Linked DNA regions of Mus musculus. The protein of the gene in region 1 interacts with the protein of each later gene in a pairwise test. Links are inferred from orthologs where the notes say so. Each region holds a gene or a part of one and is shown in the gene's direction. Other genes may lie near its edges.

Region 1 (3,500 bases):
TCTTGCTAATACCTTTTTTTTTTTCTGAGTTTCCATGACTTCTACCTGGGCTGCAACTTAAATATGGAAAACAAAAGACCTGAAATAAGAATCCACTTATGAGAGGGAACTGGTGCCCTTTGTCCTTCATGGCTTCAGAAATTAGGATCTTTTCCTGTTCTATCTAGTTACCTGAAAATTAGGCTATTTTGGTTATCAATACAGCTGAATTATATTGCTATATATACCATATTTTTATTACCTTCTTATCTGTTTTTGAATGTCTAGGTTGGGTACATTTTCAGCTAGTGCCAAAAGAGTGCCAGTGGAAGTGTCCCTGTAATGATAGAAAGTCCTTGGGTGTGGCCTAGAATATCGGGACATATGGCACTTCTAGTTTTTGAGAAAATTCTGGTCTGATTTCCAGAGTAGCTACACTAGCTTTCACTCAAACCAACAGTGTAAAATATTTCACCTTTATCACAACAACACACACAGTGTTGGCATTGCAATCACAACAATGGCCATTCTGACTGGAGTCAGATGGCATTTTAAAGTAGTTCTGATTTTTGTTTCCCTAATGACTATAAATGTGATTATTTTGAAAGGTACTTCCTAGCTCTTTATATTTCTTAAGCAAAGTTTGTCCAATTTGAAATTCTAAAAGTATTGTCTTTTTTTTCTTGTATTTCTCTGTGATATTTTGGCAGTGGGGGAACTGCATGAAAGATGAGCCCTTGTTTCCCACCAATATTTCATGTAATTTCTGCAAATATTAAAATGGATTTTCCTGTGCAACTCAATGGTCATCTACTTATTATTTGAAAAGTACTTTACATCAGATAAAAAAAGAACCTTGTCCTCAAAAAATGCAGTGATGTTTGTACAAGAATAAACATCACTTAAATGTCTCACCCTCACAAGGTTAACATTTCATTAAACTGGTTAAAAATTGTGCAGCTGAGGACAATGGCAGGTGCCATTAAAAATCCAAATTTGAAAATGATTTGAAAATGGTTAACTGTCTTGCAGCAGATATTTATTTCTCAAAGAATTTCTTTCTCCCTTTGGAAAATTTGCTTACATGGTAGCCCTTTGTCATGTTCTCAAGAAATGTTAAATTAATGCAAAATGAGTGGATCCATATGTCAAAATATAACTTCTTCACAGGAAGAAGAGCTGAGGAAGAGTGGGGAGGCCAAGTATGCCCACCTGAGTGATGAGCTGCATGTATTAATTGAAGTGTTTGCTCCACCCGGGGAAGCTTATTCACGGATGAGTCATGCCTTGGAAGAGATTAAAAAATTCCTGGTTCCTGTAAGTGACTTTTGATTTTACAAATGGTTTCTCATCAGTTTCTATTTTAAGTTGTGTCTTTGATCTTCATTGATTTTTGAAAGGATTGTTTGTTTTTTTTTTTTTTTTTTTTTTTGGAGGTTAGCTTCTTGAGTTCTTTATATATTTTGGATATTAGCATATTTTGGATATTAGCTTTCTATCGCATGTGAGGTTAGTGAAGATTTTTCCCCAATCTGTAGGTTGCCAGTTTATCCTATTGACTATGTCCTTTGCCTTATATAATCTTTCCAGTTTCATGAGGTCCCATTTATCAGTTCTTAATCTTGGAGCTTGAGCCACTAGAGTTCTGTTTAGGAAATTCCCACCTGTGCCAATGAGTTCAAGGCTCTTTAGTTATCCATGTGTAGAGTCGATAATACAAGGTACATACTGGAAGACCTGTCTTGTTGACATTGTCAACTAATCTGACAAAAGTATTCATCACCAATCAGTTACAAAGTATACACCAGTCCACAGCTAGAAAGAATAAGAAAAAGATACATTATTGAAGCCACCTTTCCCTGTTTGAAGGCCTTAACATGTAACATGTTTATAATTGGAAAACAAAAGTACAGTAAAAAGAGGATGGGATTGAATATTATTTATAACAAGCCATTAATAGTACTTTCAAATAGTAAATGATTTTTAGGTGATAGTATGTCAGGTGCTGGCTGATACAAAACAGAGCATAAGTTTATATTAATGATGGCAAATAAATATTAACCTAAAAATTACAAATATAAACTCATTATTCAGTATTAGAGTAATAGAGGATGCTCACCTGCCAATTCAACTGCAAATTGAATGGAGTTCTCTACTGATATTTAAGAAGTAGGAGGAGGTAAATGCATGGAGTCTTAAAGATGAAAATTGTGCACATTCTAGGAAAAGGTCCTCCAACAGAAATCTTGCCATGAGGTTCAGTGCTGAGATATTGAGAGAATGACAAGTAACATTCCTGGGAAGATCTTGAAGAAATCCTGAGCTCAGAGAGTGCCTCACTGAGATTAATCTGCAAATGAAGAAACTGGAGATTTGTATACTCAGTAGAAACTTCAAAGAATGTGACATTTACAACTCATTCATTGTAGTGGTTTTGAAAACCAGAAACCAAAAGTATCATAGAATTTTCTACGTGTAAAAACAGCAAGGCCTAGCGACAGTTTCTGGTTATATGTCTGATCCAAACATTAATCTTGTCGAGACACAATTACAGAATAATGGCACACTAATCTGAGTATGTTTTAACTTCATGTGCATGGTTATTAATTGGGTCTCATCTGGAAACCTCCAGAAATATATCTCTATATATAATATAGCTTGATGATCCTGTGTTCTTTCTTCCATTGCTTTCCAGGGGAATCTTTAGCACAAGGATAAGTAAGGCATCTTAGTCAACTTAGTGTAGACCAGACCAGATACATGTATGTGTAGTGAGGCCAGGCCTCCTTATATCACAAACTCATTGTATAGTTTTAGCGAAGTTATTTAAATGTTTAGCATCCGTTTATGGATCTTTAAAACGAAAGTAATCACAATTGATTCAGTCATAACCTTTATGAATATTAAACAAGATAATGCAGGCAAAAGGTGATTAAAATGAGAAAGCAGTGTAGAAACTTACTTTTTAAATTTATCATAGTAGAAAAACAATGGATGACTTTCTGAGGAAAAAATTGTGTTAGATATAGTAATATGTCTTTTTTGTTTGGATATATAACCTTTCCTCCCTTCATATTTTCCCATATATGCCTCCCTCATCTACTTCAAGTTCATTGATTCTATTTTCACTAATTGTTACTTTATTCCTAAATAGCACCTTGCCAACCCATATAATGTTCATTTTAGTATGTCTTTGATGCATATATTTTGAACATAGAATACATGCCCTGGTACAGTAAATGCAAATGATACACAACCCTGTCGTATATATCATACCTTTTAATCAGTTCATTTCTTTTGTATGCACTATAACATAAATGGTTGTCATGGTTGTTAATTTATTTCTGAGCCAACATTATCTCTTCTTCATTTAGCACAGTAGTTTATTCAACTTTCCTAGTGCTGCAAACCTTTTATACAGTTATACATGTTGTGGTGGACCCCAGCAACAAAATTACTTCCATTCCCACCTCATAACTGTGATAGTTGTCATGTAAATATCTGTGGTTTTCAATGGTCTT
Region 2 (2,583 bases), on another chromosome or scaffold:
TCTCCTTCCGCCGGCCACCCACCCCAGTCCGGGATGCTCAGGCCGTGCGACATTACAGGATCTGGAAGAACAACGAGGGCCGGCTGCACCTGAATGAGGCGGTATCCTTCTCCAATCTGTCTGAGCTTGTGGACTACCATAAGACCCAGAGCCTGTCTCATGGCCTACAGCTGTCCATGCCCTGCTGGAAGGTAGGCCACTGGCTCCTCTGTGACATAGTTGCCCAGGGTCCTACTGGTAGGGTATAATATGGGGGGGAGGGGATGGGGGCACAGGACAGGGCAATCTCCTTGGCTATTGCTCTTATTACACTGGCTCACCAGAGCTCAGATGTGCTCCTGCTGAGGACCAGTCCCTAACATTGATGGATGAAGACAGCAGCAATTTTATGAGGATATCCAGATACTGGATCTATCTCTAAATTTAAAAAAATAGATAATAAATAATAAATAATAAATAGAGCTCCTCATGAGGGGTTGGAGCAAGCCCTTCCTGAAGACAAGCTGGGCGACCCAGCCCCCATTCCTACCCATTCCTATTGCCCTTTCTGTCTCTCCAGCACAAAACTGAGCCCTTGCCCCACTGGGATGACTGGGAGAGGCCGAGGGAGGAGTTCACACTCTGTAAGAAGCTGGGGGCCGGCTACTTTGGGGAGGTCTTTGAAGCGCTCTGGAAAGGCCAGGTCCATGTGGCTGTGAAGGTGATCTCTAGAGGTGAGCAGGCCCAGGACTAACTCAACATGATCACGTGCTGCTTCCCCACTAGTCCTTCTAGTAGGCACTTCCAGTCTTCCCCCACTGAGGGTATCCCAACACACTTGCTGGGCACCCACAGCATCATGGTGGGAGTAACTTCTTTCAATTGTACCTGGTTTTGTTTTGTTTTGTTTTTTGTTTTTGTTTTTAAACAAGTCACTGGAAATGTGAGTTTCATCTCAAATCCCAACGTCACCCTCAGGTTTATACCTGAAACCTCAAGAATCAGGTCAGCCAGGACTTTGAAAACATCTGGCTGGGAAATGCTGACTTTGGCAATTGTGACCAAGTTGGGCACAGGAGGGCAAATGGACACATCAGTCTTGGGGCACTGAGGGCTCGGGGTGGGGAAGGCTTTAGTGTGGTAGCTTGGAGGCCAGCCTTTGTCTTCCTAGGCTGACCACATTGCCTGACTTGCTTCAGGAGGTCTGGGCCAGGATCCTGTTTGGGGCACAGGTCGAGGGCTATACTCACTGAGGTTGATGTCTCTCAGACAATCTCCTGCACCAGCACACCTTCCAGGCTGAGATTCAGGCCATGAAGAAGCTGCGGCACAAGCACATCCTGTCACTGTACGCTGTGGCGACTGCAGGGGACCCGGTCTACATCATCACGGAGCTCATGCCCAAGGGGAACCTGCTGCAGCTACTGCGTGGTACGTGCAAAGCTCCAGTCTCCTTTCCCGGGTGAAAGTGCTGGAGGCAGCATTTGGAGGCACAGACAGCCTGCTCTCTGAGCTTGAGGCCAGCCTGGTCTACAGAGCAAGCTCCAAGACAGCCAGGGCTACACAGAGAAACCCTGTCTCAAACCTTTCTCCTTTCCCTCCCCAAACCCCCCAAAACCAAAGATATAAAACAATCAAGGAAAGACATGCACATGTACACATGTATACATGTGCACACACCCTTAATAATGAGTACATGCATTACATCACACATGCTACATTGCCTCATACATACAAATCGTTAAAAAAAAAAAAAAAAAACCAATGGTGGGAGAGATGGCTCAGTGGGTGAAGTGCTTGCTAGGCAGGCACGAGGACCTGAGTCTGAGTCCCCAGAACTAGTTAGTGTAAAGGCAAGCACAGGAGTGGGCTTCTGTTACCTGAGTCTGAATCCTCAGAACTAGTTAGTGTAAAGGCAAGCACAGGAGCGGGCTTCTGTTACCCCTAGGCTTCTACGGTGAGATGGGAGGCAATGGGAGAATTCTTGTTTTATCTGGCTCAGTAGCAAACCACAAAACCATCCTGGAACACGTCACTGGTGAAGACTAACACCCGATGTTGTCCTCTGACTTCCACATACATACACACACACATCATACATACATACATAACAAAAGAGACAAGTAAATGGTCTTATTAAGTACAAAAAAAATCTACCAATTGCTGATCATAAAATTTGAAAAAGTACAGAAAAGAACTCTCCCTCACAATTTCTATCCTCACAGTTAGCTGAGGTTACTTTACTATAGGCTTGTGTAGCCTGCTAGTGACTTGCCTTAGCCCACCAGCTTCTCTCTAAATTCTAAATTCTCTCTCTTTCTTTGTGTTTCTCATAAAGAGCTTGATCTCATAAGCAGTTTCTGCAGGAAGAAGTCTCCAGAGATGAAACTCATGCCCCTTGTAGGTGTAGTACTTGCTGGCTGCGCATTATCTAGAGTGTTCAATGGCTACATACCAAGAATATCTTGCAGCAATGCTCTTGACCTTAGATTGCTTTATGATTCCCAGAAAGGGTGTCAGACAAAGAATATGCTCTTTGTCTCTAGGTACATAGCTGCAGAAGGTCTAGGCCTTCCCATTTTGCAATTAAGCCAAGCCAGCTGC
Region 3 (3,500 bases), on another chromosome or scaffold:
GGAAACTGGGGGGCAGCCAGAGTGTACCCCTCAAGAGGCTGTTATTAGAAGAGCCCACGGGTATGAGGCTTACCTCCCAGAGTCTGGGGTATGGCTGCCCTAGATGAGGAGTGACTATTGTAGTGGCTGTTACCTTCTCTAGAGGTTCAGTTTCCTTTCTCCTTGCCATTGCTCCAGGATCTCCGGCGGAAGGCGGCCCGCCTAGTGGCTGCCAAGTGTACACTGGCAGCTCGTGTGGACAGCTTCCATGAGAGCACAGAAGGGAAGGTGAGGAGAGGACAGGCATCTGTCCCTGGTGCTTGGGGTCTTTTCATGGGAAGATGCTACTTCAGAGACCTCTTCTGACTAGCAGACAGATGTGTCTGTCTGCAACCCCTACTGAGGCCATCACATTCTCAGCTCTGTATCAGTTATGACAACTCACTATAGATGGAGTAGCTTCATATAAAAGTTGGCTAGGCCTCTTTAACATCAATACTTGAGAGACAGAGGTGGGAAGATCATTAGTTTGAGGCAGTCTGGGTTATATAAGTTTCAGGCCAGACTGGGCTGCATAGTGAAATCCTGTGTTTGAAAAGAAAAAAAGCCCAGGGCTGGAGATGCGGCTCCATCACTTCAGTTCCTGCATGCAAGCATGAGAACTTGAGTTCAATTCCTAACTCAGGTTAAGGGAAAAAAGAAAGCAGGCAGAGTACTTCACATCAGTAACTAACCCCAGCTCTGGGAAGGTGAAGGCAGGAGGGCATTTGGAGCTTGTGGGCCTGGCAACCAAATCAGTAAGTTCCAGTGAGAGACCCTGTCTCAGGAGATAGGTGAGGTGTTGGTGTAGAAGCCATGATACCAGATCTTTGGCTTTTTGTGCAAAGATCCTCTGCCATGTAAAATGTAGTCACAGATCCTAGAGACCAGGACACCTGACACCAAGGTGTAGCCCTGTGTTGGAAGGGACAGTATTTTGCCTACCATAGTAGGACCTGTCCTGTACTAGCAGGGACATGATTCCAGTGATACCATCTATTTTTCTGTGTGGGCTTAAGAAACAATACTGTGTGCATTTCCCTGCTAGAAATTACATCATAGCCCAGGTCAGAGGTTCAGTCTTTGGTTTTGCCTTTTGCCACTTTCTAAACAAGGCAGTACAGCAGGGGGTTATATAGATGTCAAAGGTCTGCCTCAGTGGCTTTTGTGTGTGTGTGGTGGGTATACTGGGATTGAACCTAGGACTCTACGTGTTCTAGACAACTGATCTGTACCACTGAACATACATCTATAAGATCTATACATCCTCAGCTCACCCTCACCCTTTTGTGAGACATGTCTTATCTCTAGTCCAGGAAAGCCTTGAACGAGTTTTGATCCTCCTGCTCCAGCTGCTAGCTAGGATTGGAGGTTGCTGTGTCACACAGCATTTATGTTCTAGCTGGGACCAAAACAACTAGGCAGTAGTTCTGAAAAGTCTGTAGTGGGTTCAGTGGTGCTTTGTGAATGCCAGGGGCAATCAGGGGGGCTGTGGGGTTAGGAAGCTTAGACTCTGATGACAGAGAATGTGAAGAAAAACTTCTGAGGACGTTTTAATTTGGGCTTGAGTGAAGTTATAGTCAGTCGTGTGGCTACTTGTGCTATCCACTTGGAAGAGTGCTCCAGACAGAGTGAATAGTGAGTACAAAGATCTTGAGGCCAGAGTTGAGTGAACCCCAGCAGGGAGAGGAGCCTTCTGCTTCCAGGAGCAGATAATGTGTACAACCTTTGAGGGCCTCTGGCTGCTGTAGAGGCACTGAGAAGCAGGCTAGCTGGGGTCTGTTCTAAGAGGCCAGGGGGATCTGTGGTGTGGAAGTAAGGCAGTGGAGATGACACGCTGTCTGTTGACTAGAGAATACAGGGATTCTGCCTGGCCCAGGACTCAGACAGAGACAATTATCCAGAGGGTGCAGAGCTTAGATATGAGGACTGAACCTGAGCTACAAGTTCAAGGAGCACTAGGCACTGGAACCCACAGAGCACCATTCCTGGACAAACGTGAAGAACATGTCTTGGGGAGGGCACACTGTCAGGTGGTCAGATACACAATAGATGGGTTGATGATATATAGATGTTGGCTGAGGGGACAGTTTACATGGCTGGCCACCGCTTCTCAACTCCCCCCTAGGTGGGCTACGAACTAAAGGATGAGATTGAGCGCAAATTTGATAAGTGGCAGGAGCCACCACCCGTGAAGCAGGTGAAGCCCCTGCCTGCACCCCTTGATGGGCAGCGGAAGAAGCGAGGGGGCCGAAGGTAAGGAGTTCTGATGGGGCTAGACGTTTGGAAGTGGGGAAGGGAAACAACTTCTTCCCAGCCAGCTCCCTATATCCTGTTAACACCCACTTGCCCTAGGTACCGCAAGATGAAGGAACGGCTAGGACTGACGGAGATCCGGAAGCAGGCCAACCGCATGAGCTTTGGAGAGGTCAGGCTTGATCCACAGTACCAGTGGGACCATATTAGGGTCTTCTCTCTGCACATCCTGCTGCCATCCCTCCTCCCCACCCTGTAATCTGAGAGCAGATCTGGGGCTACCCAACCCTCCTCCCTCTTGTCTAGCCTCTCCTCTTAAACCACCTTCTCCATGGTGATCTTTGCAGCTCTCAGCTGGCTGGCTTCCCACGCAGCTCTCCAGGCTGCTTCTATATCTGACTGTCATCTAGGTGGTCCTGAAAGAATCCGCTTAGGTGCCACCTCAGTAGCGCGGCTCATCCCAATTCTTGGCAACTTAATGTGGATGTAGAGAAAAAATGGCTACTCTACTCAGGTCAGGAACCAGTTCTTCCCAGGGTTCCTAGCTATACCCAAACAGAGGTAGGATAGGCTCTTGTTTTTGTTTTTGTTTTTTCTTTTCTGAGACAAATGTGAAGCGAGCTTTAATTACATACTGCTAAGGATGATGGACTCTGGCCAATAGGGTAGGCTCTTATTAGGTCACTTAATGCTGCCAGTCCCCTGGCTGATGAGGTGGTGTCCATGAGACTGGCTGATTGGGTTCTCAGGTGACTGCCTCAGGGGACTGGCTGGATGTACCCAGCTTCTTAACCGCAGGTTGCTCTCGTCTCACCAGATTGAGGAGGATGCCTATCAGGAAGACCTGGGCTTTAGCCTGGGCCACTTGGGCAAGTCAGGCAGTGGGCGTGTGCGGCAGACCCAGGTGAATGAGGCCACCAAGGCCAGGATCTCCAAGACACTGCAGGTATGGATTGGGCCCATGAGAATGGGAGGCAGGTGGGATATGGAGGTCAGTGAGCCTGGATCCCAGCCTCCCCTTTCCCTACAGCGGACCTTACAGAAACAGAGCGTGGTGTATGGTGGGAAGTCAACAATTCGTGACCGCTCCTCAGGGACTGCCTCCAGTGTGGCCTTCACTCCACTCCAGGTACCATACCCTTTTCTACCAGGCATATGATAAGGCTGCTGTGGAGATCTGTTGAGATATAGCACATGAGCTTAGGCATCCACAACCACACAGTAAG
Region 4 (3,234 bases), on another chromosome or scaffold:
TCTATAAATCACTGGTAAGAAAATGGCCCAGTTGAAATGTGCACAAGGTACCTTTTATAGGTAGACAACGTGCTTGAGCAGAGACAATACCAAAGATGAAAAATAGGCACCCAGAGAGATCTTCCATCACTGGCCATTGGAAAAATTCTGTTTTCAGCCACCATGCTATATCATTACTTACCTATCCAACAGCTAAGATTCAAAAAAGGCTGGCATTGATACATAGGAATATAAAGTAGTAAGGACACTCATGAAAATGGTTTGGCAATTCTTTATAAGATTAAATATACACCTTGCATATGCCAGGAATTCTACTCTTAGATACAGATGTATCAACTGACACAGATATAGAGAAATAGAATTGTAAGCTCACACAGAGGTCTCTCTGTGAATGTGGACGAAGGACAAACTGCTGCATATTCATACCACAAAATAAAAAGTAGCCAACTACTGGTGAATACAAAAGCAGATGGATCTACAGGATATTATACAAGGGGAAAGAAAGCCAGTCTTAAAAAGGTAAAATATGGTATGATTCCAGTTACACACATTTTTGAAAAGGATGAATTAGGTTAGGTTAGGAGCAAGAGGAAGATGAGGGCTCCAAATGGGTGGCTGTGGAGTTTTAAGATGGTGGAGCTACATAGATCTATATATGTGTCAGTCCAGGACAATGAGCAAACCAACCTATCTCCATGTTAAGATAAAAACTAAGAGAACTGTGCATTTCATTGTATATTGGTTGGTATGGAGGGCTAGCTGGAGACTGGAGATCTTTTGTTGACCCGTTACTCCTCCTAGTGAGAGCAGACTTCCATGATCTTCCCTCAGTGCTAAGTGAGAGGAATTACTGCTTCCTTGGAGGGAACCCAAGAGTCACTGACATTAGGTGACAGGGATGGCTCAGACAATTTGTGATTCTGAAATGAGAAAGGACAGTGCAGGTCTGGATACAAGAATGACCTCCTGACATGGCTGGGCCCCTATCTCTCCTGGATTCTGTGTGGGACTAAGGCCAACACCCCTCCTAAGGCCATGGGCAGTGGGCAAGAGCGATAGCACTTGCCCTTACAGTCCCACCAAGCCCTAATTCCCATTGTTGCTGGCTCTGATAACAGGCTCCACCCTGCAAGCCCCCTCCCCTCTCCTAACCAGTGGCCACAGCCTGACAGGTCCCTGACCATGTGTATATAAAGGAGACACTGGGGACAAGCACCATCAGGCCAGTCTTGAGTGCACTCAACTCCAGCGCAGCCTCCAACCCTCACCACCACCACCACCATGTCTCTGATGAAGAATGAGAGAGCTATCATCATGTCCATGTGGGAGAAGATGGCTGCTCAGGCCGAGCCCATTGGCACTGAGACTCTAGAGAGGTAAGTCCAGGCACCATGGCTTGAGTAAGCAGGTCAGAAGAGGGATTGGTGAGACAGAAGTGACAAAGAGCAGTTAGTGAGGAGAAGCCACTGAGAAGGGGTCATGAGGACAGTATGGTCAGGACAGTAAGGACAGAGGCAGAGAGGACAACGTGGAGAGGACTGAGAGATCAAAGCTTGTGAGGAGGGGATCCAGGCAGGCAGACAAGCTGCTAAAGGAGGTGGGCTGGCATTCACAGAGCTCACCAGAGTCTTCCATGTGGCTCCTCAGGTATTTGTTGAGTGAATAGGAATGAATGGATGAATAAACAGCTATAGGTGGATAGAGAGTGAGTGGATACAGAGTGGATACAGGGATCTGCCATGTAGACCCTTGTGCAATAGGAAATAGTAACATCGCTCTTGGGGTTGTTTTTAAAAGATTTTGTGTGTGTGTGTGTGTGTGTGTGTGTGAGAGAGAGAGAGAGAGAGAGAGAGAGAGAGAGAGAGAGAGAGCGAGAGAGAGCGCAAGCGTAGGTGCCATTAGAAGCTAGAGGCATCAAATCCCCTTGCATCTTAGTTACGGACAGTAGTGCATTCTCTCCAGGGCAGTAAGTGCCATCTCTCCGAATGCTTTTTGTATTATTCAATGTACATTTTTTTGCATTTCATTTCCTTAAATACTATGTAAACCACTACTTTGTTTTCTGTCTGGTAGGTCTTTAAATTTGTATATCCCTTACATTTTGAGCCCAAGGCAAGAGCCAGTGTCCTAGCCCTCTCCCTAACCAATACTTACTTGTAAAACTAACGCTTTCTCCCGGCCCCTAGGCTCTTCTGCAGCTACCCCCAGACGAAGACCTACTTCCCCCACTTCGACCTGCACCATGGGTCTCAGCAGTTGCGGGCCCACGGCTTCAAGATCATGACCGCCGTAGGGGATGCGGTTAAGAGCATCGACAACCTCTCTAGTGCTTTGACTAAGCTGAGCGAGCTGCATGCCTACATCCTGCGTGTGGATCCGGTCAACTTCAAGGTGGGTTTATGAGAAGGGAGGGAGAGGTCAGCAGAGAAAGAGACAAGGAAAAAAAGCGGGTGGGGTCTCTGCTGCACTGAGCACTGAAATTCCCTTCCCTCCGCAGCTCCTGTCCCACTGTCTGCTGGTCACAATGGCCGCACGCTTTCCCGCCGACTTCACCCCTGAGGTCCACGAAGCCTGGGACAAGTTCATGTCTATCCTGTCTTCTATCCTGACTGAGAAGTACCGCTAAGCTCCACCGCCACGACCCCCATGACCAGCTATGATCCCTCTCCTCCCCTTTATTGAACCCTCCCTCAGGTCTTTCCCTGAATCCCTAATAAATGGTTGAAGAAGGAAATAACTGGTCCTGTGTATTCGGTCTCAGAGGGAAACAGGGATGGGGACACTACGGGATGCACTGAGGTTGGCAGGAACACTGCGGTTATGCACTGCCTAGAGGACATTCCTAAGGTGGCTAGGGGAGGGTCTGGAGAACCCCAGAGTCACAGCTGGCCAGAAGCAGAGCCGCCCACAGTCAGACCTGCCTGCGACTGGAGTTCTCACCTTCCCAAATCGCTTCGCACAGTGTGGTGGGTGGGCGTCAGGTATTCCTCAAAGTCTGATGTCATAACTTCTGCCACCCTGGCAGGTAGGGGGTGTCCCTGTCCCTAAAGGATAAGAAGACTTCCGGTAACTGTCTTCATAGGAGTCATTACAGGTTCTGCGAGTTCAAAGCGAAGGCTCGCACTCACACGACTTAGTCTATGACAGAAGTCCCATCCTTTGGCCTCTCTCTGGGCATGTTTCTGCGGACACGCGAAGGGCTCTGTGTTTCTGCTGAGTTCAGCGAATCAAGGC
Region 5 (2,955 bases), on another chromosome or scaffold:
ATGTGGGCAGGCTGATTTTTAAACCTGACAGTCCTGCAAAATTCTAGAATTACAGGAATGTAGTTTAACATCTTTTATTCTCATCTCAGCAGTGAAGTTGTTTTGTTTGTTTCATTTTCTTTCTGCTTGTGTAAGAATCTCATGTAGTCCAGGCTGACTCAAACTCCATCTGTAGCTAGTACTGACCTTTGAGCTTCCTGATCCTCCAGTCTACTGCTGCTTCCCAAATGTGGAGATTATAGTCCTAGGCTAATTGGCTGCCATGCTCGGTTTTATGTGGTGCTGGGGATTGAACCCAAGCCTTTGGCCGTGTTAAACAAGCCTACCAACTGTGATACTTTCCCAGCCAGACCAGGAAAGAGCCTGGAGGTTGTGAGGGGCCAGGTTTCATGCTTCGGGAAGTCTGGAGTTGAGTAAGGTGGAGTCTGCTGAAAAGTGACTGCTCAGAGAGGGATGTTTGGAGTGTGAGGCTCACTGATGCTCTCTAATCTTTTTCCAGGGAAAGATTTTCAAGGAAGCAAACTTAAAGTGTCTCTTGCCCGAAAGAAGCCTCCAATGAACAGCATGCGGGGAGGCATGCCACCTCGTGAGGGCAGGGGGATGCCACCACCACTTCGTGGAGGTATTAGGCACTTTGTTTTAGCTATTGTGCTGTTATGTTAAACGGGGTTGGGTTGGGTTGGTTTTGGTTTTTTTCCCTTGAGAAACTTAGTTGAATAATAAACAAAGAAAAGGTATGTAAAATTGATACTAGGCCATTGAAAGCCAACACTGCATTAATAATATGGGTTAACTAGTTAGAGGGAGTGGAAGCTCTAGAGAACATCTGCCCAGATGTCAATTTCCTTCTATGAAAATGCCATAGTTGGAGGCTACATGAAATGACGCAGAAAGAATAGTGTGTGGATAGCACTGTGAGTTTACAGGAGAGGGCACCATGACAAAGCTGCTATAGAGAGGTGATGAACTGTTTGTTATTGCAGGTCCTGGTGGCCCAGGAGGCCCTGGAGGACCCATGGGTCGCATGGGAGGCCGTGGAGGAGACAGAGGGGGCTTCCCTCCAAGAGGGCCCCGAGGCTCCAGAGGAAACCCCTCTGGAGGAGGAAATGTCCAGCACCGAGCTGGAGACTGGCAGTGTCCCAATCCGTATGTACTTCTCCCAGCAGATTGCGTGCTAGTGATGACACCCTCTTCCCACTCTGGGACGGGACGGGACGGGACGGGACGGGACGGGGGGGGGGGGGGGGGGGGGGACACACACTCAGCACTGACTGCTTCTGGAGGTTCAGGACGGCCTGGGGTTGTCTGCAGGTCCTTGTGCTTTGTGCCTGAAACTCCATAACTGTGTAGAGTGTGGTGTGAATCTCCACCTTTCTCAGTTCTCTTGGTGATTTCTATTGTGATATAACTTTATTCAGGGGCTGTGGAAACCAGAACTTCGCTTGGAGAACAGAATGCAACCAGTGTAAGGCCCCTAAGCCCGAGGGCTTCCTCCCGCCACCCTTTCCACCTCCGGGTAGGTACAGGTTTTCTGGAGCACTTCAGCTTCCTGGTGATTGAGTAGTGTCTGCTCTAGGAGAAGGATTAGCAGATCTACCACAGCAGGTCTTCAGTCTCGGCTTTTACTCCTGACTCACCTGTCACTCTTGTCTCTGCCTTAGGTGGTGATCGTGGACGAGGTGGCCCTGGTGGCATGCGAGGAGGAAGAGGAGGACTCATGGACCGTGGTGGTCCTGGAGGAATGTTCAGAGGTGGCAGAGGTGGAGACAGAGGAGGCTTCCGAGGTGGCCGTGGAATGGACCGAGGTGGCTTTGGTGGAGGAAGACGAGGTGGTCCTGGGGGGCCTCCTGGACCTTTAATGGAACAGATGGGAGGAAGAAGAGGCGGACGTGGAGGACCTGGGAAAATGGATAAGTATGTGGTGGGAGAGCACTGCCCCTTCCCAACCTCTGCTGCAGTGAGTCCTGGGGTGTCTGGGGTCTCTCACAGGGTTTTCTGTCCTTTCTCATTTTGACCTAAGGGTCCCTTTGCTTTGCAGAGGCGAGCACCGTCAGGAACGCAGAGACCGGCCCTACTAGAGACCTGCAGAGCTGCATTGACGACCAGATTTATTTTTTAAACCAGAAAATGTTTTAAATTTATAATTCCATATTTATAATGTTGGCGACAACATTATGATTATTCCTTGTCTGTACTTTAGTATTTTCACCATTTGTGAAGAAACATTAAAACAAGTTAAATAGTAGTGTGCTGAGTTTTTTTTTGTTGTTGTTGTTTTTTGATTTGTTCTTTTTTTTTTCCTTTTTAAGATGGTTGTTTTAAGACTTAACAATGGGAACCCCTTGTGAGCATGCTCAGTATCATTGTGGAGAACCAAGAGGGCCTCTAATTGTAACAATGTTCATGGTTGTGATTTTTTTTTTTAAATAAAATTCCAAATGTTTATAAACTGTCATCCTCCTCCTCTGTTCTCGTGTATGTCCAGTTCTTTCCAGCCCTCGCTAGATGGGAGCAGAAGCTTGTGATGCCCTCGAAGATGCCCACTGGAAACCTGTGCTCGCATCTCCAGCTCTTGGCTTTACTGGGTCATTTGTTCCCTTCCAGAAGGCTCTGAGATGACTTATCATCATTCCAACTCCCACTATCTGAATTCACAGGATCGCCCTGTGCCTTTGCTGGGATAGCAGACCTGATCGTGTCCTCTGCAGTGCCAAGTGGTCACTCTAGTCCTTTGCTGCCTTCTTCCGGACTTCAAAATGGGGCTTTCCCACCCAGCTCATTTATTTATTTGGTCTTTTCGAGACAGAAACCTCTGTGTAGCCCTGGCTGTCCTGGAACTCACTCTGTAGGCCAGGCTGGCCTCGAACTCAGAGATCCGCCTGCCTCTGCCTCCCAATTGCTGGGATTAAAGGCATGAGCCACCACTGCCCAGTTTATTTTTTGTTTTTTAAGAGG
Region 6 (4,143 bases), on another chromosome or scaffold:
ACTCTCAAAACCACAGTGGAGGGAGAAGAAAATGTAGCCTGGAGACATGGGTCTGTTATCACAGCTACTTGGGATGTGAGCCTACGGATTTCAAGGATAGATTGAAAAATGTAGGTTGTCTCAAAGGATCAAATGGCCTAGTGGTAAAGGGCTCTTGCAGAGGACGTGGGTTCAATTCTCAGAATCCACATAAAGGTTCACAGCTGTCTGGACCTCTGCATCCAAAGGATCCAGCACTCTCTTCTGGTCTTTGTCAGCGCAAGATAGGCAAGTGCTGCATAGACATTCAGGCAAACACCCATATACATAAAATTAAAATACACTTTTTTGTTTTGTTCTCTGTGGTGTGTGTGTTTAAGAAGGCTAAGGATGTAGCTTGGTTTAGCCACTACTTAGAATTCTGCAGTGAGGGGTTAGGGGTGTGGCTCAAGGATAGAAATCCTTCCATGGCATGCTTGAGACTCTGGGGTCTCTTCTAGAAAATGCAGGTACACATTGAAAAGAGTGGTGTTTTGCCATCTGTGTGGTAATGTACACCTGGTTGGAGATGGGCAGAAATCAGGGTTCAAATGGTCGTTATACAGCAGGTTGAGATTTGTAGGAAAACTGAGTTGGGTGCAGGAAATCTAGAGAAAATCTTGACATTGTGATTAATACTGGGATGGAAATTTTAGGGCTGATCTTATGGAGTGTCCTTGGGGTCCAAAGAACTGTTAGGCAGCAGTTGTATTGGGAGGTACTTTTGGACTAGAGTAATTCGGTGGTTTTGGTTTCATGAGCAAGAACGGAGAAGAGGGGCAAGCAAGATGACTCAGTGGATAAAGCTGCTTGTGGCTAATCCTGAGTATGATCCTTAGGACCTACATGATGGAAGGAGAGACTCCATCTGTCTTCTGGCTTCACAAATGCGCCTCAGTTAAATAACTGTAATTAAATATTAAAAGAAAAAAAAGAACATAAAAGTGTTGAGTCGATGAGTCAAGGTTGGAGCCATATTTGGGAGTCTCATTGAGGTAGCAAAAGCTCTTTGTTCCCCGCCGCAGGACAAACGGGTCGGGAACGCGGAAGTGGGTCAGCTCCGCCTCCAAATCAGCTGTCCCCGCCTCCTAGTCGCTAGCGGGCGGGGGGTGGGGGGGAAAAATGCGGCCAGGAAAGATTCCAGCCAATCAAAACACTCAGCGCCTCCGCGCGGACTAGGGCAAAGCCAACGGAGTCCCGCCCCTCCACCGAGGCGCAGATGCCGAATCTAAGGCGTCGGATTGGTCAGCGCGGCGTGGTGGGCGGGTTAAGGGGCGTGGCTCCAGGAGTGGAGTATATCAGGCGGGACTCTTGCGCTCCCCCTCGCACTCGCGCCTTAGGAAGCTTGGGTGTGTGTGGCGCGCTGTCTTCCCGCTCGCGTCAGGGACCTGCCCGACTCAGCGGTGAGGGCTCTGGCGGCACCGGCTCTGAGGGGCCCGGGGCGGCGGGCGGCCTGTGACTCTCGGGCGAGGCGGAGCCGCAGCGGCACGCCCCTGGGACTTGGGGGCGGGCCCGGGTTGGAGTCCGCCCCGCCGGCGGCGAGGCGGGCAGCGGGACACTGGGGCCTCACGCTTGTCGGAGGGCGTCCTCCACCGCGCGTCATCCCCGGGCCGAGGCCGACCTTAACGGTGGGCTTTTTTTTTTTTTTTTTTTTTTGTAAAATGGCCGCCGCGATGCTTTGAAAAGCTTCGCCGGCGAAATGGCGGGACTGCCGAGTGCCCGGATGGAATGGCGCAGGGTGCGCGCTTGGCGCATGCGCTGCTCCGGGGGCGGGGCGCTCCTACCTCCAAAGTCCGGTTGTCCGCAGATGTGGAGCTGTGTCGCGTGCGACCCTTTTACTCCAGCTGGCTCTACCTCGGTTTTCTCTTCCCTTGTGGTTCCACGTGGGGAACAAAAAAGCACATGTAGGCTTGAATGTTGTCCTTTTGTGCCCCAAGTTTATTGCCCCCAAGGTAGACTGGTTTCGTGGTATAGTGGACTTATTTTCCAAGTTGTCGGTTGCCAATAATGACTTTGTCTAGATACCACGCCCCTTTCGCTAGCCACGCCTCTTGGGCCAACCTCCTTTCTCCCTTGAGTCCATCGTGCAAAAACATTTCTCTAGTCCTTGGCTGAGTAAGCGAGGCATCCCACAACTGGCACACCTCCAGACAGTACCCTAAAAGCGTATTTCAGTAGTGAAGTTTCTCTGGCCCAACAACTCTATGCTAGTGAGGGTAGGCAGTCACTATCATTTCTGTCCCCAACCACACACATTTGCAAAGTGACCATGCCATTTTGATCCTAACCTTGGGATTCTCTGGCCAGGTGTAATCAAGACCTAGAATCATTTAAGGTTAGCCTCAGCTGTATGACAAAGTATTCCATATGCCTTTGGGATGATAAAAGCAAAAAGAGTTCCCTCTTGTGTAGCCCAGAAGGGTATTGAACTTGCTGTGCAATTGTATTTGGTTTTGGATTCTGTTCCTTTGCCTCCAACTCCCACAGGCTAGGCGAGATGGGTATTTGTTTTGAAACAGTCTCTCAAACTGATCCACAGTGTCCTTTTTCTCATTGATCTTCCCATCTCGGTGACTTGAATGGCTGGATGAGAGGTGTGAAAGAAACCCCACTTGAAGCTGAGGTTTCCCAGTAAGACCATGGGGTCCTCTCCCCCCACCCCCATGCTTCCCCCCTAGCCCCCCCCCCCCAGTTTCTTTGTGTACTCCTGGTTATCCTGGACTCTCTTTGCAGACCAGGCTGGCCTCAAAACTCACAGAAATCTGCCTGCCTCTGTCTCCCAAGTGTTGGGATCAAAGGCATATACCACCATGTCCAGCTGTGGGTTACTTTTATTTATATACATACATACATACATACATACATACATACATACATACATACATATGTAGGTAAGGGATGGGAAGAGGCAGCTTTAACTCCTTAAAGCTTTCAGTGACTTATCCTTACAGGTGTTCCAAGGCCATCCTGGACTATAAAAGGAGACACTGTCTCAATTTTTTAAAGGCAAAGAATGTGGGGGGCTGAAGAGTTGGCTCAGGGGTTGAGAGCACTGCCTGCCTGCCAGAAGACCCAGGTTCAATTCCCAACACCCACATGGCACCTCATAACTAACTCCCAAGATCTGACAGCATCAGAGACATATATGGAGACAAAACACCAGTGCACATAAAATATGTTACTCTTTTTTTTTTTTTTTTTTTTTTTTTGAAAAGCATATTCTTAAATATGCTATTTGGCTTCAGTTTCTGGAAGGGGTGGTGGTTAAGGCAAACATCTATGGTGTGTGCATAGGCTGCCATGGCATCAGATGAAGGCAAGCTTTTCGTGGGAGGACTCAGCTTCGACACCAACGAGCAGGCGCTGGAGCAGGTCTTCTCCAAGTATGGGCAGATCTCCGAAGGTGAGTCTTGGGTCAGGATCATTGTTCTCGGCTTCTACTTGGGGGTGGGGGTGGGGGGCAGAGGGCTGACTGGGCACATCTAATGTCTCTCTCCTGCAGTGGTGGTGGTAAAGGACAGGGAGACCCAGCGATCCCGAGGCTTTGGGTTTGTCACCTTTGAAAATATCGATGACGCTAAGGACGCCATGATGGCTATGAATGGGAAGGTGAGGATCAGGTCAGCCAATTTACCTTGGATAGGTCTGGTGTGGAATCGGGTACAGTGACCCTAACTTTCTCCTGCAGTCTGTGGACGGGCGGCAGATCAGAGTTGACCAGGCTGGCAAGTCTTCTGACAACCGGTCCCGAGGATACCGGGGTGGCTCTGCTGGAGGCCGGGGCTTTTTCCGTGGGGGACGAAGCCGGGGCCGAGGGTTCTCCAGAGGTGAGTGCTGGGGTGCCTTGGCAGCTGGTGGTGGCACTGCAGCAGGAGTAGGGACTCCCTGACTCTGTTCTCGATCATCTACAGGAGGAGGAGACCGGGGCTATGGAGGTGGCCGCTTTGAGTCCCGGAGTGGGGGTTATGGAGGCTCCAGAGACTACTATGCCAGGTGAGCCAGATGGGAGCCTTGGGGAGGCTCAGCCTCGGTGGTGGCAGCTGGGCCTGGGAGGAGGGTGCACCAGGGGAAGGGCAGACTAGTGTAGGTGGTTTGGTTTTGTTCTCTACTGAGAACCAACTCTTG
Region 7 (3,500 bases), on another chromosome or scaffold:
CCTGGCTGAACTAACATCCGTTCACTTCCTCTGTCTTTCTAGTTATGGACATCACCGACATCATCAAGGGCAAGGCAGAGAGCGACGAAGAGAAGCAACATTTTATTCCATTTCACCCGTAAGTCACTCCCGTGTGGCTCCAGGCTGTCCACCCTACTCTTACTGCTGCCCTGGGTGAACTTGTTCCTCCTCTTAGTAAGGGGGTAGGTGGGCCTCCAAAGAGGGCACCCTGACATGCTAATGATCCAGAAACTTCTACTGCAGCCAGAGGAAGAGTGCCAGGCTCAGGGGTGAAGTAGTAGACAAGGTCAATGTGACCCTGCTTATACTTCAGATGGGTAATTAAGCAGATAATCAACCAAAGCTTAAGGCATTAATTACAAGTGTAGCAGGGACCACAGAGTGTGAAGGAGCAGCCTATTGGGAGCCCTTTGTGGAAGCCACATATATATTTGTGACATGAGAAGCAGGGGCAACCAAGGAGGTAATTATAATTTTTTTTTTGCTTGAAAATGACCCATGTTGAGAGCAGTGTCAAGATTGAGCACCACAAAGATCTCCAGGTAATGGAGCCAGTGACTCTAGCCAAAGGTGAGTGACTAGGTCTTCCGGAGCTACTGAAGTCCTTGTTACCTTCCAGAGAAGACATTCATGTCAGAGCCGTAGCGATCTCTCCTGTCACATGAATGCCTACGACTGTGGCAGTCATTGGTTGCCTCAAATCGCAGAGCCATACTGTTTGTGAAGAGGGTGTTGCTTTCTCTGAGCTGACATGGAAGGCTCACTTTGCACCTAAGTGGTGCTAGATATCTCCCATGTGGAAATCTAGGACACAAGATGGAGCTTCCCATCGGGCAAAGCAGGAACATTTGTGCTCTCTTTTCCTTCCTAGGGTCTCAGCTGAGAACGATTTCCTTCACAGCCTTCTGGGCAAAGTCATAGCTTCCAAGGGAGACAGTGGAGGGCAAGGTATGGAGTCACCATCATACAGAGTCCAAGTACGATAAACTTGCTGCAGCTCAGGAGCCTCTGCGACATCAGTAAATGGGTCCAAGTCCTGGACTAGACAGTACAGTGGGAAGCATGTGGTCTGTAGACCACCCATGGAAGCATGGGATGGGCATTCCTTTCATAAGTGACAGTGAGGAGTTGCTCTCTCCTGTGTGCTGCCCTTTAAGTTACAAGTGGTTTCATCCTTACCCAAGTCCTGGGATACATGAGCTGGTATCCTCTCTGCTTTAGGAGACTCGGGTGCAGAGATTGTAATAACTGTCAGAGGCTGACCCAGCTATAAGTGAACGTTGCCCAGAGCCCCTGGGGTTGGCCTGTTGCATCTGTGAATGTATCTGTTATTTCAGTAGTCTCCTATAGGAGAGATGGAGGAGAGGAAATTGGGGAGGGGGAGGAGAAAGAGGAGGAAGAGGAGGAGGAAGAGGAGGAGGAGGAGGAAGAGAGACAGAGACAGAGAGACAGAGAGACAGAAGCTGAATGTTCATGTGTTCCCTTCCAGGCCTTTGGGTGACCATGAAGATGCTGGTGGGGGACATCATTCAGATCCGTAAAGACTACCCACACTTGGTGGACAGGACCACTGTGGTAGCCCGAAAGCTGGGCTTCCCAGAGATCATCATGCCAGGTGGGACACAGCTGCAGTGACCTTCCTCAAGGGCAGGGCCATGAGCAGGGCTGAGGAGTCCAGCTGTGTAGTTCATAATTTCCTAAGAGTCAACTCCCTTTACTTTATTCCTCTACCTGAACAAAACCACTGCAAACCATGTTTTCCCATACAGTAACATAGATCCCCTTTCTCCCAGTCCTTCTTTATAGGCACCGCTACTTTAATAAGCATTTTTGGAGCTCTGCAACTTGCTTTGTCAGTCAGAAGCTCACGGGTGGCATCTCTGTTTTACTATTCATACCAAGATCCCATTTTACTCGGGGGGGGGGGGGCGGAGTGGTGCTACTCTCCAGCTTTTAGAGCATATTTTATAGTCTGAAGGACCCATGCTTACAGTAACATGTCCAAACGCCATACAAGGTATTCAGAAGTCCCCGCAAGTCTCTCTGTGCCTCTCCTATTAACTAACCATGCCTATTAGTGCATTCAAGACATGCTTGAGGCTTTTCATGAGGCAGATTGTGTAATGACACGCCCTCTGACTCATCCTTTTCTCTCCTGTAGCTAAGTGGTGGTGGTCCAGGGTGGGGCCTGTACTGTGATTTAATGATATCTGCTTTACTTGAGATCTCAATGTCTGCTGTTCACTCCCTTCGGGAGCTCACTCAACCTGTGCTCCTGGCCCTTCACCCTTAGACTCTAGGATTCATGGGAAATCCCTCAACCCTACTTTTGTGCAACAAAAAGGCCTATCCGTGGTTGAGGGCCAAGCTCATTTCGCTTGGTGCTTTCCTTTACCTTCCCAGAAGGTGTCACTAGAGGATGGAAATGCAATGGTTTGAACAGAGAAAACATGGCCAGTTTTGAGCACCCCACCTGGCTTTCTGCTGCTGATTTTTCCAGCATTCCGACCCTCCCTTGCTACTTACATCTCCATCCCTCCTGTCAGGTTAAAAAAAATGCCCTTTCTAAACTGCTCGGATTTTCATTTTATTAATGGTCCTTCCTGCTTCTCCCTGTCCCCTCCACCTCTGTGGTTAGTGCCTGACTCTAACTCTGGTCTTCTCTCCATCCTTAGGGGATGTCAGGAACGACATCTACATCACTCTCTTACAAGGTGACTTTGACAAGTACACCAAGACCACACAGCGGAACGTGGAAGTGATCATGTGTGTGTGCACAGAGGATGGCAAAGTGCTACCTGTAAGGGACTCCAGAGTGCTGAGTGACAGGACCCGGGGCTGAGGGACTGATCATAATTATCTGCTCTCTGAAGGATCAGAGTTTTGGGGAAGACATTGAAACACATGATCTATACTGTGTAGCTTGCTTAATACCTTGTTCTAGGGTCTAATTAGAACCTATGTTAATTAGTCTTTTTACCTAAGCATTCTTCAATGTATACTTTCCTAATCTGTGTCTGTGTGTATGTGTATAAGTGTGTGTGTATGTGTGCCCACTCTTGTTTATAGGTTATCTTTTTTTGTAGTTAAAAATGTTGTTTTCATTGAAGCCCAAGCTAGTTTAATTCAGGCAAAATCCATGGTAAAGATCAATACAGAGCCCTGGGCTGGTGTGGAGGTTCAGAATGTCTTCAAAGCAGACATCCTCAGCACTAAATCCAACTCCGCAGCGCTCACCCAGAAATCTAGGTGGAAAGTCTTATTCGCAAATTGGTCTCCAGAGGGTTAGCAGCATGCATTCAAAAAGGCAAAGCACATGGTTCTATTTACAGAGCATATGTCCTGTGCAATCGTTGTCATGTGTGTTTATATCTATTTGCTTATGTTTCCTTTAAGGTTGTCAGCACTTGTGTCCAGTGTGTGGGAGGGTTTGCTTCTGAATTCTTCCTCTCTGAATATTTAGCTGAAAATGAGATCAT

Evidence for each region.
Region 2: the proteins of Khdrbs2 (region 1) and Ptk6 interact in binary tests that used the Homo sapiens proteins (3 or more experiments, as listed by UniProt). The two-hybrid records come from large-scale screens. The link is inferred for Mus musculus from reciprocal best matches to the Homo sapiens genes KHDRBS2 and PTK6.
Region 3: the proteins of Khdrbs2 (region 1) and Prpf31 interact in binary tests that used the Homo sapiens proteins (3 or more experiments, as listed by UniProt). The two-hybrid records come from large-scale screens. The link is inferred for Mus musculus from reciprocal best matches to the Homo sapiens genes KHDRBS2 and PRPF31.
Region 4: the proteins of Khdrbs2 (region 1) and Hba-x interact in binary tests that used the Homo sapiens proteins (3 or more experiments, as listed by UniProt). The two-hybrid records come from large-scale screens. The link is inferred for Mus musculus from reciprocal best matches to the Homo sapiens genes KHDRBS2 and HBZ.
Region 5: the proteins of Khdrbs2 (region 1) and Ewsr1 interact in a two-hybrid assay, tested with the Homo sapiens proteins (2 studies listed by BioGRID and IntAct). The two-hybrid records come from large-scale screens. The link is inferred for Mus musculus from reciprocal best matches to the Homo sapiens genes KHDRBS2 and EWSR1.
Region 6: the proteins of Khdrbs2 (region 1) and Cirbp interact in binary tests that used the Homo sapiens proteins (3 or more experiments, as listed by UniProt). The two-hybrid records come from large-scale screens. The link is inferred for Mus musculus from reciprocal best matches to the Homo sapiens genes KHDRBS2 and CIRBP.
Region 7: the proteins of Khdrbs2 (region 1) and Dock2 interact in binary tests that used the Homo sapiens proteins (3 or more experiments, as listed by UniProt). The two-hybrid records come from large-scale screens. The link is inferred for Mus musculus from reciprocal best matches to the Homo sapiens genes KHDRBS2 and DOCK2.

The regions. Positions count from the first base shown.
Region 1 is NC_000067.6:32,413,722-32,417,221, forward strand, and holds part of Khdrbs2 (KH domain-containing, RNA-binding, signal transduction-associated protein 2), read left to right. Parts: intron 1-1,149; coding exon 1,150-1,296; intron 1,297-3,500. UniProt on the Homo sapiens protein: RNA-binding protein that plays a role in the regulation of alternative splicing and influences mRNA splice site selection and exon inclusion. Binds both poly(A) and poly(U) homopolymers. Phosphorylation by PTK6 inhibits its RNA-binding ability.
Region 2 is NC_000068.7:181,197,207-181,199,789, reverse strand, and holds part of Ptk6 (protein-tyrosine kinase 6), read left to right. Parts: intron 1-27; coding exon 28-191; intron 192-559; coding exon 560-713; intron 714-1,248; coding exon 1,249-1,410; intron 1,411-2,583. UniProt on the Homo sapiens protein: Non-receptor tyrosine-protein kinase implicated in the regulation of a variety of signaling pathways that control the differentiation and maintenance of normal epithelia, as well as tumor growth.
Region 3 is NC_000073.6:3,636,485-3,639,984, forward strand, and holds part of Prpf31 (U4/U6 small nuclear ribonucleoprotein Prp31), read left to right. Parts: exon of another isoform or gene 1-177; coding exon 178-267; exon of another isoform or gene 268-2,146; coding exon 2,147-2,274; exon of another isoform or gene 2,275-2,373; coding exon 2,374-2,446; exon of another isoform or gene 2,447-3,091; coding exon 3,092-3,220; exon of another isoform or gene 3,221-3,304; coding exon 3,305-3,403; exon of another isoform or gene 3,404-3,451; intron 3,452-3,500. UniProt on the Homo sapiens protein: Involved in pre-mRNA splicing as component of the spliceosome. Required for the assembly of the U4/U5/U6 tri-snRNP complex, one of the building blocks of the spliceosome.
Region 4 is NC_000077.6:32,275,383-32,278,616, forward strand, and holds Hba-x (hemoglobin subunit zeta), read left to right. Parts: upstream 1-1,217; 5' UTR 1,218-1,281; coding exon 1,282-1,376; intron 1,377-2,186; coding exon 2,187-2,391; intron 2,392-2,497; coding exon 2,498-2,626; 3' UTR 2,627-2,734; downstream 2,735-3,234. UniProt on the Homo sapiens protein: The zeta chain is an alpha-type chain of mammalian embryonic hemoglobin.
Region 5 is NC_000077.6:5,069,187-5,072,141, reverse strand, and holds the end of Ewsr1 (RNA-binding protein EWS), read left to right. Parts: intron 1-499; coding exon 500-622; intron 623-983; coding exon 984-1,146; intron 1,147-1,418; coding exon 1,419-1,516; intron 1,517-1,661; coding exon 1,662-1,914; intron 1,915-2,020; coding exon of another isoform or gene 2,021-2,038; coding exon 2,039-2,078; 3' UTR 2,079-2,455; downstream 2,456-2,955. UniProt on the Homo sapiens protein: Binds to ssRNA containing the consensus sequence 5'-AGGUAA-3'. Might normally function as a transcriptional repressor. EWS-fusion-proteins (EFPS) may play a role in the tumorigenic process.
Region 6 is NC_000076.6:80,166,496-80,170,638, forward strand, and holds the start of Cirbp (cold-inducible RNA-binding protein), read left to right. Parts: upstream 1-1,343; 5' UTR 1,344-1,421; intron 1,422-1,675; exon of another isoform or gene 1,676-1,922; intron 1,923-3,233; exon of another isoform or gene 3,234-3,312; 5' UTR 3,313-3,318; coding exon 3,319-3,421; intron 3,422-3,520; coding exon 3,521-3,627; intron 3,628-3,706; coding exon 3,707-3,845; intron 3,846-3,929; coding exon 3,930-4,011; intron 4,012-4,143. UniProt on the Homo sapiens protein: Cold-inducible mRNA binding protein that plays a protective role in the genotoxic stress response by stabilizing transcripts of genes involved in cell survival. Acts as a translational activator.
Region 7 is NC_000077.6:34,703,906-34,707,405, reverse strand, and holds part of Dock2 (dedicator of cytokinesis protein 2), read left to right. Parts: intron 1-42; coding exon 43-118; intron 119-892; coding exon 893-969; intron 970-1,510; coding exon 1,511-1,636; intron 1,637-2,696; coding exon 2,697-2,821; intron 2,822-3,500. UniProt on the Homo sapiens protein: Involved in cytoskeletal rearrangements required for lymphocyte migration in response of chemokines. Activates RAC1 and RAC2, but not CDC42, by functioning as a guanine nucleotide exchange factor (GEF), which exchanges bound GDP for free GTP.